Linked DNA regions of Lytechinus pictus. The protein of the gene in region 2 purifies or fractionates together with the protein of the main gene of each other region. This does not show direct contact. Links are inferred from orthologs where the notes say so. Each region holds a gene or a part of one and is shown on either strand. Other genes may lie near its edges.

Evidence for each region.
Region 1: the proteins of membrane protein FAM174A-like (region 2) and protein catecholamines up-like purify together in Homo sapiens (co-immunoprecipitation; 3 studies listed by BioGRID and IntAct, with this or other methods). This does not show direct contact. The link is inferred for Lytechinus pictus from reciprocal best matches to the Homo sapiens genes FAM174A and SLC39A7.
Region 3: the proteins of membrane protein FAM174A-like (region 2) and zinc transporter ZIP11-like purify together in Homo sapiens (co-immunoprecipitation; 3 studies listed by BioGRID and IntAct, counting the BioPlex papers as one, with this or other methods). This does not show direct contact. The link is inferred for Lytechinus pictus from reciprocal best matches to the Homo sapiens genes FAM174A and SLC39A11.

What each region holds. Positions count from the first base shown.
Region 1 is NC_087259.1:18,778,331-18,785,933, reverse strand, and holds the start of protein catecholamines up-like, read left to right. Parts: upstream 1-4,530; 5' UTR 4,531-4,611; coding exon 4,612-5,074; intron 5,075-7,184; coding exon 7,185-7,418; intron 7,419-7,603. UniProt on the Homo sapiens protein: Transports Zn(2+) from the endoplasmic reticulum (ER)/Golgi apparatus to the cytosol, playing an essential role in the regulation of cytosolic zinc levels.
Region 2 is NC_087249.1:17,117,670-17,124,795, reverse strand, and holds membrane protein FAM174A-like, read left to right. Parts: upstream 1-4,783; coding exon 4,784-5,109; intron 5,110-6,443; coding exon 6,444-6,573; downstream 6,574-7,126.
Region 3 is NC_087254.1:12,733,438-12,741,110, forward strand, and holds the start of zinc transporter ZIP11-like, read right to left. Parts: upstream 3,098-7,673; 5' UTR 2,859-3,097; coding exon 2,751-2,858; intron 1-2,750. UniProt on the Homo sapiens protein: Zinc importer that regulates cytosolic zinc concentrations either via zinc influx from the extracellular compartment or efflux from intracellular organelles such as Golgi apparatus. May transport copper ions as well.

The DNA.
Region 1 (7,603 bases), on a different chromosome or scaffold from region 2:
ATTCATGTCATTGGAAATACCCAAAAACAAAGTCCAACAAGCAGCTCTGACTAACGAAGCAGTGACTGAACGAAGGGGGCGTTTTTATATACGTTTGAGCTCCCTAGAAAAAAAGAGGAAAAGGGAGGGGTGCATGTCGGATGTAATCTACGCGAAAGAGGGGTAGGATGCAGAGGCGTAACCCAAAATGCAATCATTTTGGGGTTATGTATTATGACTGTTTCATTTTTCTAGTCAAATACTTGGTCAAACTATTAGCAAAAGCTAGATCCTATACTGGGGGGGGGGGGGGGTGGAAGGGAAGACCGGAACTGATCGACCCCGTGGGAAAATGGCTAAGATTTTGAAAGTATATCGGGCTAAAAATCAGTCAATCATCATGACAAAAGACAAAAAAAAAATAAACGTAGTTTAATACATACCCCTTAATCGCTTTCCGCCTTTTCTTCAACCCCCTTCCCCTTTCCTTTTCTCTTTGCCTCACCCCCACTTATAGTTGCACATGTTATTATAATTGCCCCCTTATTTGCTCCTATATAATTTGCAACCGCGCATGTTCTAACAACCTCTATAATAATCAATGCATGATTTTAAATACATTCTTACATGAAATAAAACATATAATGATTGGTGATTACCTCATCCAGTTATATTGGTTTAATTACTTCGACCACGACTGAAAATCTTCTGTTCAAATGCTGGATCGAAGTTCTTTTCAGTAATATCGACTGCATAATAGGCCTACTTTGCAAATAATGGTCAAGTTCACAGATTTTTCCAGGAACCTTAACGAGACATCACATTCAATCTGCCAGGAAAGAATAGCCGACAATACTCGGAATTATTTGCATACTATCCGTTGCTATGCATGGCAAGCATCTGGAAAGCCTTTGGGTTGTCATGCATGAATATCTTTTTTTGTTAAAAAATCTGAATATGATAGGAAACAGTTCTATTTATTTATACGTAGGCCTCGTGTAGATGCTTTCTTTCCCTTTCTCCCTCTTTCTTCCCTTTCTCCTTTGTTATATTTCCACTAATTGAAAATTCTAAGCAGTCGCCCCAGCACCCCTGTGGTGTCACGGTATAACGGGACATTTTGTTCATTTTTGTTAAATTTGACAACTCCCCCCCCCCCCCAATAAAAAAGGAGAAAGTTTTCACTTCTTAATGAAGGACGATTTATAATTATATGTCACAACAAATTTAACAAGCAAGCAAGTAAAAAAATAGATCGAGGGAAAATGTCGTCAGTTGTGTATCTACGACATTTTTCTGTGGCTGTGCCTCTATCTGCATGCGGATCCACAAATGCACAAATGCTCTCTTATCACACAAGTTTGCTATGTTTTGATAGTTATTTTGTTCATTAAAAAGTACTAGTCACTCGATCAACCAATTTAGGTCAATGCACCCCAACAATATAGTTTGATTTGAATTGAAACAACATTTTCACAAAATAGTAGGTAAAATAAGCATGACAAAGCTGCGCTTTATTTCATCATGAAAAACAACGGATGATATCAATATGTGTTGATCTATAATATGATTTCACAAAACAAACACATTACGGGTGGTATAGCTCTATAAAAATGAATGGTGTCAAACACTATAGGAAAAAATGATTTCGTAGTACATGTAATCAACAATCTTTCAGATAAAGGTCGCAGTGTAACGCTCCAAAAATTCTGAGAATGCCAGACATGGCGTATATGGGCAACATTATTATTGTACATGATAAATTTAGACATATAGAAAAGTAATATCATAATTCACCTCTATTCCTTTCATTTTCTTTCTTTTTTTTTTTTTTTTTCTTATTTCCATCTTGGTTGTATCTTTTATTTATTATTATTATTATTTTTTTTTGGGGGGGGGGGGGGCTTAAGCGTTTATAGATGCATGCCGGAGTCATTCACCTCCCAACTCCCTGCATGGTTTTACAATAGTATAGCCGGCCTATATTATGCCTACAAAAGAAATGATACAATTGGTTGCTTTATCGCCTGTGTTACAGTACGGACCGTTTTATGAAAATAAATGAAACTTTGAAGTACCTTAACTTTATTATTTTTTTCATTCGATTTTGATGAAATTTCAGTTACGAAATAGGCCTAGGCCTATATATAGGCCAATACAGGCCTCATTTTCTCGTTTTATCTTTTCAAACATTATTAAATAACAGACTACGTACTAATTATTTATAAGAGCTATATTGTCAGCTTATGGCCAGCTTATATCAAACCTCTTTTTTTTGTTATGGGGTCTATGTCTCTTGACACAATAGGGGCGTCTTGTACAGAGAGTGTCGATTGATCCGATCAATCGTAACTATGGACAGCCACACTGTAAAAAAAAATTAGTAGAAATTACTTAATAAAATTGTGGCAAAAAATTGCCTTAATTTTTTCAAGTATTTATGACTTTGGCAGTTTTAAGTAAAATTTACTTATTTTCTTTGCTTCCATTTTACTCAAGAAAATTAAGTTACAATAACTTAATTCAATTAAGTAAAACAATCACTAAAATATTTGAAAATATCAAATGGGGGAGTGGATGGACTTTCGTGATTCGAAAGTCCGCTCCCCCATCGTCCCACTTTTGGTGGCATCATTTTCATTTTATACATGTTTTATCCAATTAGACTTTGTGAATTGTCACTTACCTGTACATGTATAGGTACTGACATTGATAGTTAGTACGCGATCGTTTCATTCTTACAAATAAAACAGTGAGAATAATTTTCTGCTAAATGACTATTTAATGTTGCCTTTTCTTTGATTCAACAAAAGAATACAATAGTTAGCACACCCTTATCCAAAACAATTTCAAACACAAATAGAAATGACAGTTATTAAAAAAAAAACACATTTACTTGCTCTAATGAATATTCATGCATTATTTAAATATGGCGTTAATTGAAAATATAAGTACATTCAACATGATTTTATAAGTAATAATCATCTTTGCCTAATTGAGTTAGATTTACTCAATCAAAGCAAGCTATCAATACGTGAATTTTCTTAAATGTATATTGAAACCAAATAAATCAAGTAAATCAAGTAAATTAAAAGACAAGTTGAAACTACTTAAAAACAACGAAAAATAATTACAAATTGTAAATTCTACTTAAATACATTAAGTGTTAACTACTGATTCAATGTTTTTTTTTTACAGTACGTGCAGCAAGGTCAACATATGAAATGAATATTTGTTCAAAAAATTGTCTGGATATGAATGTATATCCATTGATTCACTGATTTCTTGACGAATTGGTGTGTTTTCCTAGCTTTGTTTACAAAAGAAATATTGTGAATTTCATGTAGAAAAAAATATGACCCTAATGGTGAAATTTCCATATAGAGTTACGATTGATTGGATCAATCGTAATTCTTTGTAAGATGGGGCCCAACTAGGTCCAGCTCTGAACTCTGTCAGGTGGGGAACCGTACTTGATTCGGAAATATGACTTTTGGCGCGCGCCCCTTGGGCCCAGAGGGGGGCACTCGACCAAAAAAGTGGTGGGGATGTGCCGCGGGCGAGACAAAAAAAACGGGGGCCTTGGAGCGGGCTTATTGTAAACAGGAGGGTCCTCGGAACGGCCTTTGGAACTACAAATGTTTGTGAAAACGGGGGTCCTTGGAACGGATCGCCAGCGTGTGAGTGCGTATGCCTCCCTATGGAACGGTCATGCGTGCATGATGCAGCTAGCGCGGCCTCCGCCGGGTGCGCTCGCGCAGAGCTGAGGCGATGGTCGGACAGCGCTCTGCGGCCGCTTTTCACCAAAATTGCAGCTCATTGTAGCTAGCAGATCAATGCTATCGGAACAGCGTAACGAAAAATATGCGAAGCTTTGGAGCGGATTTCTTTCTTCTTTTTTCTCAATAAGACAAAAATGCTATGCCTTGGAACGGAAATTTGAGTGTAAAAATGGGGGTCCCGGCCCTCCGCGGCACATACCCACTATGCATCATATACTGAGTGCCCCCCGGGCCCTTGGGATTGCACTCACTTCCTAGGTCGCTTTTATTGTTTATTATATGAATACATATTACCCTTTCTTAATTCACTCAGAAACAATGATATTTTTTATTTTGACTTCAAAAAAAAATATCATTGTTTCTGGTGAATTAAGAAAAATCAAATACACTGGCCCGTATTCTGAAGTCGGGTTTAACTTAAACTCAGGTTTAAAGTGGTGGTTTAAGTATGGATAGCCAATTGTTACATAAATCACTAACAGAAGGGATATAATATTTCAGCTCATTTGGCTCTCAAATCATTCATTATTGTCTATATAGATTATTGTCTTCACCATCGATGAATCCGGAAAGAGCACAGCAAACATAAGAAACGTACAACTTAATAAAAAAAATTGATACTTTTGGCTGTCCATACTTAAACCACAACTTTGAACCTGAGTTTAACTTAAACCTGACTTCAGAATACGGGCCATTAAGTCAGCGAATCAATAATGATCCCCTCCCAAGACCCTCCCCACAACCCCTCCTCCCTTTAATATTTCGTTTCATTGTTACCGTACGGTACATGACGACTGGAGACGAGGTTGCGATCGTTGATAAGCCACGTATAATTCTCTATTGTTGAAACATGGCAGCCTCCGTGCGAAGAACGCGAATGCCCATCGTCTGCTTATTGTTGTTAATTCTCGCCGTTTACAACAACGCCCATGGTCATCATGAAACAGAAAGTGGACACAGCCATGAGCATTCCCACGCTGAAGCAGCTGGAGCAAAATCTTATGAGGGAAATGTCTGGACAGATGCAATAGGTGCCACAGTTTTGATCTCTGCAGCACCGTTCGTGATCCTTTTTCTCATCCCGCTGGACAAGGGGCGCGAGGGACAGGAGTCGCTGTTGAAAGTGCTGCTCAGCTTCGCATCCGGTGGATTGCTTGGTGACGCGTTTCTGCATTTGATCCCGCATTCGCTTTCTCCGCACAGTCATGGCGATCATGGACATGATCACGGGCACGATCACGGACATGAGCACAGTCATGATCACGGCCATAGCCATGGTCATGATCATGACCACTCTGGACCAATGCTTGTTGGTAAATTCAAGCTTAAACTAGATATACTCCTCTAACTTCAAAATAATGTTTATGAATCTAGATAAAGTTCCACGAATCCAGAATAGTGTACTTAGGTCTGACTATATTTAACGTTGGATCTGTCAATACAGATTACAGGGTTTATCTAATTCCTAGTATTATACTTAGCAAAAGTTTTGATATCGAAACAATTAAATGCAATGGATATACCTCGAGCGAAGTTTGTGCAGGCTCCACTTCAATACCATGACTACCGCTACACTATGCTCCACCTACCCGAACTTTGAGACCATGAATTCGATCAGAAATTCCATGTGACAAAATGTGGGATTTTATGGTGGGAAAATATAAAATTAATGCGACATCACGATCTTTAAAAATAAGTACAAGTTACAATTAATATTCTTACTTTACACAAAGTTTCACTTTTCCATGCTTCTATCAGTCTCAAGTTTTGGCGATTTAGAGCCAACATGAAGTTCCTCACACGTATAAATATTAATGTGCTGCCGATTTCAAAACATTGCATGCGCGAGGTACCGAGCTCGGACCGGACCCGTTACCTCGCGTGTGAGATGTTTTAAAATCGGCAGCGAATTACTTATACGTGTGAGGAACTTCATGTTGGCTCTAAATCATCAATTTTGAGACTGATAGAAGCATGGAAAAGAAGTGAAACTTTGTGTAAAGTAAGAATATTAGTTGTACTTATTTTTAAAGATTGTGATGTTGCATGAATTTTACATTTCCTCCCCATAAAATCCCACCTTTTGTCACTCGGAATTTCTGATTGAATTCATGGTCTCAAAGTTTGGGTAGGTGGAGCGTAGTGTAGCGGTAGTGAAGTAAGTGGAGTGGAGCCTGCACGAACTTCGCTCGAGGTAGCATGGATAGAGATATTGTATGTAACACTCAACCTTTTATGAACAATGACCACACAGATGTACAAAAACGATTCTATTCTAATGTTGTTAGAGGGTCAACCATTCATTTCTTATCAATTTTTCTGTTCTGGGACTGGGTCCTGACTCATGTTACATAATCATATAGGTAACTCAAAATATGGCTTCCTTCATTGGCTTTTGTTTTTGAGCAAACCGTTTAATTGGCAGTTAACCTTAAATGCACAAGGCCACCACTGCCTGGTACTGGTGTATCATTATTTCAAAAAGTTCAAATTGATTGTAGTACTACTACTAGTAGAATGTAGGTTGGGGATTGGGTGTCCAGACACTTTATAATTTTGAAGCCTTTTTGTCTTTGGATTTACAAAAAAAAAATATAAATTCAATAGTTGTAACTTGTAATCATCTATTTTGTTCTCTATACTGTCTAACATTCTGTACTAAAAATGATAAACTTTGCTTGTTATTTTTCCAAATGGCTGTTTGAAATTGATTGTCCAGACACACAACAACTGGGTATACAGGCATTTTCATGATTTTATTTCCATATAACTAAACTGCAGTGAAGTGAGTGTTCTTTGTACAAGTCCATTTCTGTCATCAGAAATCCATTAGGGCCTATGTGAAAAACAATCAAATGCCACCCTTGTTATAAATTTGTATAAATGTTTTGGTAGTTTTTATGACATTAATCAAGGCTCCACACTAGCTGTTTTGCTCGGTGGCCCGATCGGTCCACCAAAATCATCAATTTTATATTTTTGGTGGCCCGCAAAGCAAATTTGGTGGTCCTAAAACAATAGAAAACATTACAATTTGTCATAACTTTGGTAGCCCGACCAGGCCACCAAGTGTAAGCTTTTACAGAAATTTGGTGGCCCAACTCTCAATTTAGATTGCCCCGGGCCACCGCTGACGTCGAGCCCTGCATTAATTAATTTCTTGATTAGTTTCCATGCCTGTCTATGAATACATTTTTAAATACTTCATGATCAAAGCACTTAAAAAGTTATTCTCCACTTGTTATTCGGACATCCGACAAGATTATTTTCTCCTTGTTGAATTAATTTTGTTTCTATCTATTTCAGAAGATATGGGTTCACTTGTGATCAACTTGATCTGCAAAATTATCAACCCAATATGAATGCAATTTAGCTTCATGAATATGTTAGATTGAGGCAATTTCTTGATTTGTTTTGCAACAGGCTTCTGGGTGTTAGTTGGAATTCTCTTATTTCTGCTGGTGGAGAAGTTTGTTCGCCTTGTGAAGGGTGATGGGGCCCATTCCCACAGCCAGGGGAAACCAAAGAAAGCACAAATTGAGGATGAAGGACCAGCACGGGAGGAAGAAACCAATGGAAGTTCTTCGCAAGTACGACGCAGGATAGCTGGGAAGCAAGAAGAGGCTGAAAAAGATAAAAAGAGCGTTGAACCAGAAGGTACATGTATGACCATTGACTGAACACAGTTGTAATCAATTTGTTGATGACTGTAGATATTGTATATGGCCATCTTTAGTTCCCATTAAAAAATATTCAGGATAAGAAAGCTTAGTTTTGTTACAGTTTATGATTTGAGTCTTGTCCTCAGCAGATCATATTGCATTAACGCATTTAACTGTCAT
Region 2 (7,126 bases):
TGATCAAATTACCAAAAACTCACTTGGCGGGTGGTATCTGAGTTTCCAAAACAAATCATATCGTGTTTTAAAGTTAAATATCTGCTTTTTTATTTGATATCTAAGTTTACCGGGAAGTTTACTAGAAATTTCAAATGGGCCAGGCAGAAATAAAGTTCTATTCATTATAAAATAAAAAGGTTTAGAGCAGGGATTCTCAAATGGTGGCGCGCGCGCCACTTGTGGCGCACCGAGCCTTGCGGGGTGGCGCTTGGGAGCTGGTATTTAAAACAAGTAAAAATAAGGAAACATTGGGGAGAAAAAATGTATCTACCAGTAATTACCTGGAAATAAGGATTTGGTGATCATTTTAATACAAAGAAAAAACAAAAACTCTTTACTTGACACTTAATTGCTAATTTATTTCCTCATTTTTTCCCAATTTAGCACTCGATAACCCCCATTATAGAGGATCGATGGTGTTCTCCCTTTTATTCATTCTATGCTGTACAAAGTTTATGTGCCACACAAGTGATTTGAAAACCCCGTTTGTAGGATTTCTATTTCAACGGCGAGAAATTTTGCATTTCCAGCTAGAGTATACGTTTTGGTTAAGAGTTAAACATCAAATAATGTGATATTCAAAGAACATCCTGATCATAAAAAAATTATGAATTTGAGACATAACAAGCAGAAACTTTGTTTCCGGAGCCGATTAAAATCTGAAGTTGTAAAAGTGAAATACTATGCTCAGATGTATTGCCTGCCGAGCTTGCCTGCATGCACATGGATGATACTGCACGTGAGTTGTAAAGAGAAAGGGGCAGTTTGGAGCGCTAGTGCAGTGCAACGCCTAATTTTCAGCCCTTGCAAATCGGGGTATGTAACTTCAGCCACTGGCGTACAGATGGGGGTGGGGATTGGGGGGCCAAATGTTTCACGGCCGAGATTTTAAAAAAAAAAGGAGAAAAGGAAAGGGAAAGAGTGGAATATTGTATTATTATCTTAATATTATGTCAAAATATAGATTTTTATATTGAAAAGTTCAATATTTTTGCTTCAGCTGCCATATCTAGCCCCCTCATTTTTTTATTCATTACGCCACTTGCTTCAGCCAATAGATCTGGTGCAGAACAGTCTGAACTAGTGGTATAATATTGTATGTTGTGAAAAAGTCACTGGTCATTTTTCTTTTAATATTAATATTGTACAGTTTGTTGGCATTTGTATTTCTTCTGTTGATATTAATTAGAGCCCCTCTGGCCAATTTAAAAGGCCTCATATTCCAAAACTTCTGGGGGCTCTGCCCCCTCGACCCCCACCAGGGGCCTCTGGACCCCCTCCGCTGATACATTGCTGGTTTGCGTAATGGATAGTGGAGCATTACAGATTCTCGACAAGAAATGTGGCGCTTCCAAAAAAAGTAATTGAGAAAGGCTGGTTTAGAGGATAGCTGTTAGACTTAAAAGATTTCCGATCGCACTTCGCGATTGCAATAAGTTGATGAGTGATCGAGATACCTGCCCTATAGCTTTCTTCATCAGGGTCCTGTTGCACACTGTCAGGAAGGGAGGGGCTTTGGGCGAGCCCACGCCCCCCCCCCCCCCCAAAAAAAAAAAAATGAATAAATAAATTTAAAAAAATAATAATAATAAATAAATATGAATAAAAAATAAATCACGACCAAGGGAAAAAAAGAGAAAAGTAAAGGGATAACTGTGAAATGTGATATTATTTTCTGAATGTTATGTCAAAATCTATTACAAACTTGGATTCTTGAGATGAAAATGTCGAAACGTGTTTTTACACTCGCAACTTTTATTAATTTTACGTGATAGGTCAAATCAAGCCCCTCCAAATTTTTGGTTAATAAACGCCACTGCCTATGCTGCCCGTTGCATGAAAGTTACCATTATGGTAACATACTTTCCATCCAATTAACTACCATGGTAACAAGTCTCAACAGCCAATCAGAATCAAGGATTCAAGTCAACAGAACCCGTATTTATCAAGTATTTACCTCCCTCTACACTCGTTATAATATTGTTTGGTTAGTTTCACATCTACTTCACCATAGGCGCTTAGAATGTTCTGTCTTCGGGTGTAAATTACAAAAAAAAACTTCAGACACGGCGATCACATGAACTATTAATGATTATGACCTTAATTTGTTTTGCAAAAATAAAGCTAAATATCTTTAGGCCTATACAATTTCAGTGTTTAGGACTACCCGAACTCCAAGGCCTAGCTCCCCCCCCCCCCCCTTATTGGAAATAAAAACCCTGCATGGATCTGCCCCTATCGTTTCTCACTCCTTTCACGAGATCATGCCCAGTGGACTGGTAAAATGGGGGCACAGGACCAAAATCCAATTGAAGCCAGTTGTGTGTATTTGAGTTTTGTCAGACGTGTATCAATCAGATATGATTATTTACGTCTGGGACCGACCTTTAACGTCACCATCCGAAAGACGTGACCAGGGCTCGAACCTCTGCATCAATTTGTAACTTCCCCACAGCTTGGATTACAGGCGCACGCCACAACGCCCAGTTTGATTTCAAACTGGTTTTAATTGGTTTAATTTAACTGGAATATAACAGTTTCCAATTGAAACCAATTTGAACCAGGCAACTGGAAATTCTAACTGGAACCAGTTGAGTATAGCTGGAAATGTCTTCCAACTGCATGGAAATGACTTCTTACTGGAACCAGCATGACCAGTTGGGTAACTGGAAATCCTAACAGGTACCAGTTATGTACATGTAACTGGAAATCCTAATATCATATTTATATTCGAAGCTCCTCAATATAAATGTATATGTGAAAGCCTAAATTTTAATAATGCCCTTTATCATTGGTATCAAATTGGATCCAGCTAGATGAAACCAATCGGGTTTTTGCCTCCAATTGGAATTGACTGGTTTTAATAGGGAAATTTGAACAACTGGAACCAATTGATATGCAAATGCCTAATTGGTTTCGACTGAAACCAATTGAAACCAATAGCCAACTGGTTCCAGTTGCCTTAACTGGAATCAATTGGCAACTGGTTTCAATTGGAACCAGTTGTTCCAATTTCCCTATTGAAACCAGTTGGCCAACTGGTTTCAACTGGATTTGCTCTAATAGACCAGTTCGTAGTTACATCAGGGACAATTTTGGTCAAATGACCTTTCATTTATTTCATTATGATAGGCAGATTTCAAAGCAGGATATAACATATGCATGCCTTACATAGCAGGATGAAGAAATTGAATTATACCAGGTGACTAGAATAGCACACCATTGAAGACTCCATGAAGGTATTTGTTGCATTTCTACTTTGAATGCATATTATAGCATGTTGTACAATGTACTTGGCAAACTGCAGTGAATATATGCTAGCATATTATGTTTATTATGTTATGAAAAATGTATTATACGAATGTTATGGATGCAGAAGAAAACAATAAATCAAAATCAAATACCAGTCGTGGACGCATTTTTGTTCTTTGTGGATGCAAATGAAAAACACAATTGAAAAGAATATATGAATAATCAAGACACCAAAGCTGGTGCTTATCTCATTAAATTTTAAGGCCACCATGCCACTTTAGTACAAATGACCTTTCTCTGATCATGCGCAGAATGGAACTACGAACTGGCTTATTGGTTTCAACTAGATTTTGGACCGGCCGGGGGGGGGGGGGGTGAGCTGCGTTTGGCAAAATTCATAGAAAGTTGCCGCGAGTAAAAGTTTTGACATTTTTATTACAAATTTTGTGATAGATTTTGACATTATTTTTAGAAAGCAATATATTTCACCCTTCTCTCTTTCCAGTTTCTTTCCTTTTCTCTCTCTTTTTTTTGGGGGGTGGGCAAGTGCCCCCTATCTGTACGCCAGTGATCATACCGATAAGGTTAGTAAGATCGTGTTCTATCGAAACTTAATTGGTACTCCAGGCAGAACCACTGAACAGCTAAACTCACACAAATAAAACATTGAAACTTATATCAAAATCGGATAAGGAACAAGTTGTGAATTTTAATTACAGGCGGTGAAAAGTAAGTTCTATGCACGTCTTCATGAATATGCAACAGGGTTGGCGATTTTTTTTTTTTCATTATTTTTTGGAAAAAAATCGGATTTATTTGATTTAAATCAGATTTTTTTTTTATTCGGATTTTTTTTATTTTCTTTATTAAAAAAAAAAAGAAATTCTAAAACAAAGTGGAAACATAAAAAATGTAACACATACACTGAAATCATTTTCAAAATCATATATTTCACAACTCTAATTATTATTAGCTTCTATTTTCATAATCAAATCCAATCAAAATAATTATGAAATTATATTTATTAGAATTTTGTCCTCCAACAATGAAAAGAATGGATTGAGTATAATTTTATTAATCATTGGTGCAACTTGTTTTGCTACCCGGGGAAGCTTACACACATGCATGAATAGATCTATATGAGATGATTATGAATTCATGAAATATCATATGAAAAATGAAGGTGGAGAGTGGGGACATATCATCATCAGCCCATCTATTAATGATTGCTTGAAGGTGCAGTTTAAAATTCAATAACAAAGGGTGAAATAAAATAAAAAAATCGAAATAAAAACCAATATCACAATTATTTAGAATCGGAGAGTGTTGGCGCCCCCTGCGTTCATTAGTGATCATATGACGTGGATCTCTGCGATACTAAAAGTGAAAAATCTAGCTAAACCATCGGATTTTGTACAATATTGAGCTGAAAATGGGAATCAAATTTATTTCAGTTGATTCCCTAAGGATGCTATTTTTCTTCAACGCAATGTTTTCGAAACTTAATAGTTCCCTGCATTATTTCCTGATTGGGTTTCTTGGATGGCAGCTGGACTTGGCATTAGCAGCGGATCCTGATCCCGTCGGCGACGGGCAACCTCCGGCTGGCAAGACAACTCCTACGGCTACGCCACATTCACCGGGCTCTAACCTCGGCACTTCCAAAATACCGACCGCAAACACAACTTCGTCACATGATGGAAAATTCGATTTTGGCGATGTTTTGTATGACAAAAGCATGCTGAGAAGGAGTTTCTTTGTGCTGATTGGATTTACGTTATTAGCTATGGTGTTTTTTGCTGTCAGATGGTTCAGGTAAGAAATAATAATAAAAAAAATAAATAAATAATGAAAAAAAAACATGATTGATCTGTTTTCTAAGTTCGAATCAGATGAAAAGGGCTCAAATTATAAAACACATTTAGCTGGTTCCAAGAACATGAAGAAGGGAAACTATAAAGGAAGATCAAGGCCTTAAAATGTACCAGTTAGCCATAACCTTGTTCATTGAACTGCTTAACTGTTGAATGAATGCAGTTAGCTAGTCTTGACTTGAGGACTCCATGATGATGTTTTTTTTTCATATTTTGACATATATTACTTCATCATGGAGTCTTGAATCCCCGTCCATACATGTATATCTATAAGAGACACATGTACACAAAGATGGATTTCCTTCAGAGGGTGAAATCGGTTTGTATTGTCAAATTTTATTTATCTATGAACCTTCAGGCGCCTAATGCGTATAAAGGGATAAAAATTATTTCACTATAAATGGTAAAAATGAGACGTTTCTTACAGACCCGATCTCCCGTGGATCCCTCGATCCGTTTGTCAACAAAGCAAAGACCATAGACCTGACCCTTGAATCGCTTCGTGATGACCTATGACATACATCCGGTTAGTGGTTAGCTAAAAGTTATTACGTAATTATAAATAATTAGTATAATACTGCTAAATATTTATAATCACGTAATAAATTTTAGTATTTGTGAAATAATAATTTTTATCTATAAATTGTTCTTCAAAACGGCTTTGCTTACTGGATGTACGTCATACATAAGCGGTTCAAGGATCGACCCTATTGTATTTGCGTTGTGTACATTTTGATCGAGGGATCTACAAGACATCGGTCTGGTAAGAAACCTTCATTTTGTAACATTTCAATTGACCATTTTTAAAATCTTCCTATGCATTAGGCGTAGGAAGGTGTAGAGATTAATAAAATCACAACAATTTACGTGATTTTTATATCAAAAGCTGGATTTCCTAGGGAAATCCATCTTTGTTTAAAAGTGTCTCTTATACATATATGAAGGGCGGTTCAAGACTCCAATGATGAAGAAGTTTAGTCAAAGTATTTAAAAAAGACATCATCATGGAGTCCTCAAGACTACTGTTTCACAGCCTTCCAACTATGGTACATGTAACTACATGTATAGATACATTCATGGTAACTTAAAATGAGGAAACCTTTATTTTGAGGCTACATGTATGTTGAGGCCGAGCCATTGTAGACTTAAAGTTGCCAGAATGGCAAAGTTACCTTGGTTAATTCAGAACGGGCTTCTTGTCTTGAAGGAATCTTCACTTTAATTAAAAGAAATTCAGATACATATGTCACACTCTCTTTATTTGTGTTTTCACAGGTCAAGAGGAAAGAGAAAGTCCAAGAAATATGGGGTACTGGCAACACGTTCATCAGACATGGAATTACGACCACTCGACCAGGATGATGATGAAGAAGACATGACAGTGTTTGACGTCAACTCAAAATAGTAATAATTTATTTACACACCACAAACACTTTAACCTATCCAAGCATTAAAAAAAAAGAAATACATGTAATTTGCCTTGAAGTAAACAAGATGCATGAAGCACATTCCCTAACATATTTGTATGTACTAATGCATTCTTTGTTACTTATTGATATGCCAAGATGGACTTGCATGTACATGTATGTAAGATGTAAATGTATCAATTTAGGGGAATTTTGATAGGGGAAGGTTTATTTGTTAACCCTGGGTATTGAATACCATTTGTTGTGTCAAATTTTCATAGTATATTTATTGTGATTGGCAGAATGCCAAATACAGCCTCCCCCCCCCCCTCCTCCCAGTCATCTCTCAAAAAGCAAAGGTGCTTATATAACTACTTATATGTTTAAAGATCTTTATTATTATAAGATGTCATTTGAAAAGGAAGTTTTAAAAAATTGATGTACTGAATTTCTGCACCATGTGACTTTTAATTATTATGGGGTCATATTGGATCAAGTATCATTCTGAGAGACTTGATCTTGCATGTGCATTACCCATGATTCCCTTGATCT
Region 3 (7,673 bases), on a different chromosome or scaffold from region 2:
CTCCGGCCCGCGAAGCGTGCCGGAGCCCAGGAGTCCACCGTGCACTTAGACATAGACACAGGACTGGGGTAGATTGGGGTCTCAATAACTTACTTTTAAAAAATGTGAAAACAGAAATTATGCACTTACATGTACCACGATTATATGGATGAAGGTATATCGTGTGACAGCATCCTGACATCGAGGCAGACTGGAACCTCACAAAAAACCGAAAAGATCTGTCGCGATACCTCTCCTTCTACCCCAGTCTCGATCTGCCATTTTGTTATGAATTTTGAAAGGAGAGGTACATCGCGACAGAACTTTTCGTTTTTTTGAGGTTCCAGTCTGTGCCTCGATGTCAGAATGCTGTCACACGATTGACCTTCATCCTTATAATCATGGTAAGTGCATAATTTCTGTTTTCACATTTTAAAAAGTTATTGAGACCCCAATCTACCCACTCCTAGTACCAATGAGGTCCAAACATTACATGTATGGACCTCATAGGCGACAATGCGTTAAAAACAGGTTAGAAGTAGAACCGTTACTGTTTCCTGCACCCAAGTATGATATTACTCCCTAAATACGATTTTTTTTTCTCGTTTGTTTATCATTTATTAAAAGATTGCCCATTAAATATCATATTATTTCTACTTAAGATTTAATAAAATAAAGGGAAACTTACATTGAGTCCTTTTTCGATCTTTTCTTGGCAGTCAGTGCGGTCACCGTCGAGTGCGATCAAAGCGGTATGAAGCTGATTTTCAGATCACGTGATACGTGTAGTCATCACCTGATCTATCGACTATCCTTTTTTAAAGACCGCAACAATTATAAATTTTATTATAAAATATATATAGAATAAATAATTGCATGATAATATATATATCTCTACAATTAAAAATATTTTGTGATATAAATTTAATATTTGACGTAAAAATCGCTATTTAACAAAATATTTATTAAAAAGTAAAAAATAAAACAAAATAAAAACGCCTTGGACACAGTGCAAAAAACCTAACGATTTTGCCGCGTTGTTAACAACTATCGTAAGGGGCGCTCTATTTATAAATAAAAAAGAATGTACAGCTGTCTACCGCGACGTAGTTTGTCGCAAGATTTGGGACAAATCCTTGCGAATTCTGGAGAAAATACATCAAAAGAACTGGTGAGTACCGTTTAAACATTATCAAATTACTAAATAGATTATACATACCTTGTAGATTTAGTTTTTAAGGTGATATTAGTGCTTAGTTCTAAGCTAGGGAGGCCCAAACGCGCGTGAGCGGAGTCTAGTCTTGAGGACGCAATGATGATGATTTTTAAAATAATGAAATATACTTCTTCATCATTGACGTCTTGACACTCTTCCCCCAGTCGCATAAGAGAAGGACCATAATAAAGATGGATTTCCCTCGGAAATCCATCTTTAGAAACAAAAATCACTTTAATTGTATTGATTTCATTAATTTTCACACCTTCCTACGCCTAATGCGTAGGAAGGTTTTAAAAATTATAACATGAAAGTGTGAAAAATTTAAGGTTTCTTACCTAACTGATGCTGAGTAAACCCCTCGATCCACATGTAAACAACGTAAGTACAATAGCGTCGACCCTTGAACCGCTTATGTATGACGTACTTCCGGCTAGCGATGCCGTTCTGATGAATAATTTATAGAAAAAAAATATTATTTCGCAAATGTTAAAATGTATCACGTAAATTAAAAATAATTGTCAGTTTCATACCAATTATTTTTATTTACGTGATAAATTTTAACATTTGCGAAATAATTTTTTTTTCTATAAATTATTCATCAGAACGGCATCGCTAGCCGGAAGTACGTCATACATAAGCGGTTCAAGGGTCGACGCTATTGTACTTACGTTGTTTACATGTGGATCGAGGGGTTTACTCAGCATCAGTTAGGTAAGAAACCTTAAATTTTTCACACTTTCATGTTATAATTTTTAAAACCTTCCTACGCATTAGGCGTAGGAAGGTGTGAAAATTAATGAAATCAATACAATTAAAGTGATTTTTGTTTCTAAAGATGGATTTCCGAGGGAAATCCATCTTTATTATGGTCCTTCTCTTATGCGACTGGGGGAAGAGTGTCAAGACGTCAATGATGAAGAAGTATATTTCATTATTTTAAAAATCATCATCATTGCGTCCTCAAGACTAAGCGGAGTCCCACTTTATTAACACGGGTAAGTATTGCGGTGTCGCCTAGAGTGCCCTAGTCCTGTGTCTATGTCTAAATGTCGGTGGACTCCTGGGATCCGGCCCGCAAAGCGGGCCGGAGCTCCCTGGGCTACCTTGCCCCTTGTAATACTAGTTTACTTACCCAGTTGCCAATTTGAAATCTACATACTATTAGTGATCTCAATTTTAATTAAAGCAGCTATAACTTTCTTATTGCTTGTCGGATTTCTTTCAAACTTTCACTATTCTGTTTAGTTCATTTTTCTCCTTCCCAACACATTTTATGGCCAAGGCTGGATTCCCCTTTCACAGTTGGATAATGAAAAAAAATAAAAAATTATCAAACCAGTCTCTGTTCACGCATCACGTTCCATCGTTTGTTATACTACATTGGCTACACTCACCTAGTACTGGGGATGACACTGAAAATGTCAGAAACTGATAAATAAATCCCAAGAAAATGCCATTATTTCTGTCTACCAACAAGGCAAATCAATGGCAATGCACTAACTCACATTACGCAGATTTTTGTACGTGGGACTACATCCCTCAAATTTCTCACCTTTCCACTCGTAAAGACGAACACCAGTGCAGCTCCAGCGGCTGTTAACCCCCATGTAAACAAAGTACCAAATAAAGACTGAGTAACTGGATCATAACCTTGCAACATTTTGATGAATTTTTAATTGAGATCAAGAAAAGAAAGTGAATTCCGAATTTGGGAACAAGAGAGCTGGCGGATCTGCCCGCAGGACTGCAGCATATCAGAACTAGCAAGCATGATCCGCTAGCGCGGGGCTAGGCTAGCTGGGCGGCTCCGGCTGCATAAAGTGGGCGGGGAGCTAGCTAGCCGCGTGGCGCTGATATGTAAACACCAACACTGATGCTCCTCTTGATCTTCCGATCTCTGGTAGCAGCAGAATCCTATGGTAAAGCGCCACGTATAAATGATAACTCGTCAGCTGGTATGGACCGTGCAAAAAAAGAGCCACGGCGATAAACTATATAGAATCCAATGTTTGTACATCATGATTTTTTAGACAAAAGTAATCGGATATCATGGGGGACTGCATGGTTGACTAGATATCCATCTAAAATATCTCCCACAATTGGTAAGAACCAAGAAGATAAACAAAGATAAAGCCCCCCCCTCCGCATCCCCCATGCAAAGATAAGACTGAGAAAAATATAAGAGCAAAAATAAATGAAGGGTGATTCAAACGAAATGCAATTATGTTATTGGGAACTATATTATATAAAACTAGATATCCACTTATTAAAGAAAGCCCTAACCCAAGGCCCCCCCCCCCAAAAAAAAAAAAAAAAAAAAAAAAGCACCGGCCCTGCCTCATGCAATAAAAAGAAAAGAGCAACAAATAAGAACAAAAATAATCAAATGGTGATTGGGAGGAGGGGGAGTGGGTATAAAAATGGACCTACTATATATAGGTCCATCAGGTATAAAATAGGTCTAAGGGTCAGAACGTTGGAGTTTTCACATTAAGCCTATATCGTCATCATCGACATTGTTATCTCCATCCATCATCCGAAGAGCATCATCATCATCACCTTCATCATTATCACCATCATCATCAGCAGCAGCATCATCATCATCATCTAGCATCATCATCATCCTCATCATTTTTATCATCCGATAATCATAATTACCATCATATCATCATTACATCATCATTATCGTCACCGTTATCATCATCATCATCATCATCATCATTATCATCATCATTATCATCATCATCATCATCTTGATGACTTGATTTATGATGAAAACATTCCAGTTGGATGGATTTCTTCTTCTTCCTGTCTCTCCCTTTTTTCTTTTTTCCCCTCTTCCTCTTTCCTTTTTTTTCTTCCGCTTCATCTCTCTCATTTTCTTCTCTTCCTTAATTCCCCTTCTTCCCCTCTCTCTTTTTTATTATTTTCCTCTCTAACTGAAAGGAACTAGGAGGAGGAAAAGAGGGGTAGGGCCAACATACGTTCTTGGCTCTGGCTCCCGACCCATACAGACTTAAAGTGGGAGTTCACCCTGAAAAACATTTTATTTATTGTAAAAATGCAGAAAAAATAACAATATTGCCGAAGTTTTGAGAAAAATCAATCAAAGAATACAAATGTTATTAGAATTGTATTAATTGATTTGACGTCATATGCGAGCAGCTTTCCAACACAATTATGGTAAACAAAAATCAATGAAATGTCATTTTCTCAGTAAATTAATTGTGTATATCAATAGACGAATCATTTCACACCCTTTCCTTAAAAAGAAAGCAAATGAGTCATCACGAACCATTAAACATTATATGTTACATTGCATAGGCCTAACATACGAGGCAGCTACTCGTTTATGATGTCACAAATGCAAAACATACAATTTTAATAACTTTCTTAATCTTGACATAAAAATACTTTTTTTTTTTTGGGGGGGGGGGCAAGCAATAGATGAAGGTCTCAAGCAAGGCCCTCCTTGTTATGGAGACCAGTGAGGGTCAGAACTGAGGGTATGAGACAACATATTTTTGAGGGAGCTCATTTTTATACAGTGATCTGTGTGGAGAAGAATGTGAGAGAGTGAAGCAAGCCCAGTTTTGGTAACTTAAACTTTTTAATACATGTAGATTTGGCGCGTAAAAAGGTCAAATCTGCCAGATAATGGATTGACTTTGGTGAAAAATGAAGTACAATTTTTTATGGGGCAGTAAATTCTCCCCCATCTGAAATATGCTGGGCACAAATTTGGACCATGTAGGCCTATTTAGCAGGTGTTGGTCAAATGTGAAGTCGGACATTACTTCACAGGGGCCGCGGAACTGTTTTCAAAGTGGGGGGGCTGAGCCAAAAGTGGGGGGGCTGACCATGCTAAAAATCACAATCATATGGTCATTTTTAAGTTTTTGTACACGGTTTTAAAAAAAGTGGGGGGGCTGAAGCCCCCCAGCCCCCCCCCCCCCCCCCGGTTCCGCGGCCCCTGCTTCAGTGGGGGGAATATTCGCTTGTTCGAGCATTTGAGTGAGCGAATATGCAACAGGCCTTGTCTGATCGAAGCGCTCACAAACAAAACTTGAATAGCGCCATCTGTAGATTAAAAACAACACATGCACACGTCATTCTATTGCGATTGCAGCTGCGGAGCCAACGAGAATAGAGACTCGAGTACCCCGAATCTCCCCGACACTGGAACCTCAGACTCCCACCGGCGCGGCTCGCATAATTTGACTTCTGCTGCTGCGCCATGATCGAAGAACCTCTGTGTCGGCGCCTCACTCTTTCGAAAATCTGGAATCAAGGAGACTGGCTTCGTTGTACAACTAACTACTGCAGCATCCATTGCTGACTTGGCCTGGCCTGGCCTTGGCTTTATTATAGCCATATTGAATGGGATTCAGTCATGCCTTTTGAGATGGAAGATTTGATCGAGGACGGTGTTGCAGATGGATGGTATGAAAATGGTGAGAAAAACAAATCACTCGACGTCGACTTTAGTCTATAAATATCACCATTCTGATTCAGTTAGTAGTAAGCTTACTGATGTTCATGACATTAGTTTTTTTTTCCTGTAGTCATCAAGTGAACTGTATACCCAGTTGTTGTGTGTTCGGACAGGTTGTGTGTCCGGACGATTATAGTTTTTTTAGAAAGTCATTTGGAAAAAATTACAAGCGAAGTTTAAAGGTAAATTCCAGTTCTGGTAAATTTACTAATGTAGGCTTACTCTAAACGAAGCCAGGGAGTCCTCCCTATTCATCTGCTGCATGTACCGCAAAAAACCCTGAAACTTTCCCCCCCGAGATTTCTACTTTCCTTCTAAAACTAGATCTAGCTCTAAATCATGTATGATGGGGTGTCCAAACTTCGCGCACTTTTCAAAAATATTCATCAGGCTTAAATTTTCTAACAAAATATTCATAATTTATACAAAACCAATTCAAGAAATAGTTACCACATTGACAGCAAGATCGTAAACTATAAAATCATGGACGAAAATGTAAAGTAGGTCAAGGGGATTCGCCGGTATATCGCGATCTCAAAATTCTATTCCGATCGGCGAATGCGCGCTGTGCTGGAAAACCATTCAGAAAAAGTGTGACCTAACTTCGCGGACCAAAGTTTTTGTGGACATTTAAACAAAAACTCAAGCCCAAAAAGTGAAATATTTATATCAGATTGATGGCAAAATGCTATAGAATCGGTTAGTACCACATTTAACTTACATTTTAGATGATTTCTGCTTGCAAAATGGTGATATCGTGATGCTTGTTGAGAATATCAGATTTCTTCAAAACGGGCGCTAACGGTGACAAATTTGCCGATCTTTTGCCAATATTTTCATGAATACTGAACTCATCCTAAAGAAACTTACACCAAAGGGTAATTTTAGGTCGCTTTTCATGTTGATGATGTCAGATTTTAAGGATATTTGCTAGTTTTTTAGATAATGACCGTCTGCGAAGTATGGACACGCGCGAAGTTTGGACTCACTGCCATACATGGGATAAAGAGTCATACTTAACCTTGGTTTTACAGACTTTCTCACGAAATTAGTGTTTTACTGCAACTACTTTCATTTAGCTTTAATCAATTTTTAGTACAAAATGTTAGGAAATATAAAAAACAAAATAGAAGATGATTACAAGTATTGAATTCATATTTTTAGTGTAATCCAAAGACATAAAAGAAGGCTTGAAAAGATCAACTGTCCGGACACCCGACCCCCCATCCTACTGGGATCTTTGGAAAGACTTCCATATGCCCCCTCCACTCCATTGCTTTGCACTGTCTGTGTAATTAAAAAAAATTCTACGACAAAAGCAATAAACACCTCTTAATACCTTTGTTCTATTTTTCTTCTTCTTGAAGGCCGAAGGGGGCCCCCCATGTCTATGCACCTAAAAAAATTAGCTTAAGATTAAACATGAATGTCTCTTTATTCAGGTTTATTCCACACAAATATCAGTTGATAATGTTCCTTATAAAATTATGATATCAATTATAAAGCTATAAAGTGTGCCAAAAATCTTATTGAATTTCAGACTGAGACTTGAGAAATAGAAAAGTCTAGACTAGGCATTATTGTGAAATTGGGATTAACTGTTCACTTCGTACAGAAGCGTTTTATTCAGTCATACGCATTGGTTCCCCATTTCCACCTACATTCACTTTGTACACAAGTGTGTGCGTACAAATATGGACGAGTGCACTCCTGAAATTCAATATTTCTCTCCATTTTGAGTCAGATTATACTTGCTTAATCTCTCTTATTTGTATTTTTTTTTTAATTTAAGTGGAGGGGACAGAAGTCTTTCCTTAAACATCTTTTCTAAGCTACTATAAAACTTAAAAGTAAATGTGAAGCCAAGAAGTGCATACTGGTACCTTACAAATGTTATTACCTTAAAGGTCAAGTCCACCCCAGGAAAATACTGACTTGAATAAATGGAGAAAAATCAAACAAGCATAGACCTAGTGCTGA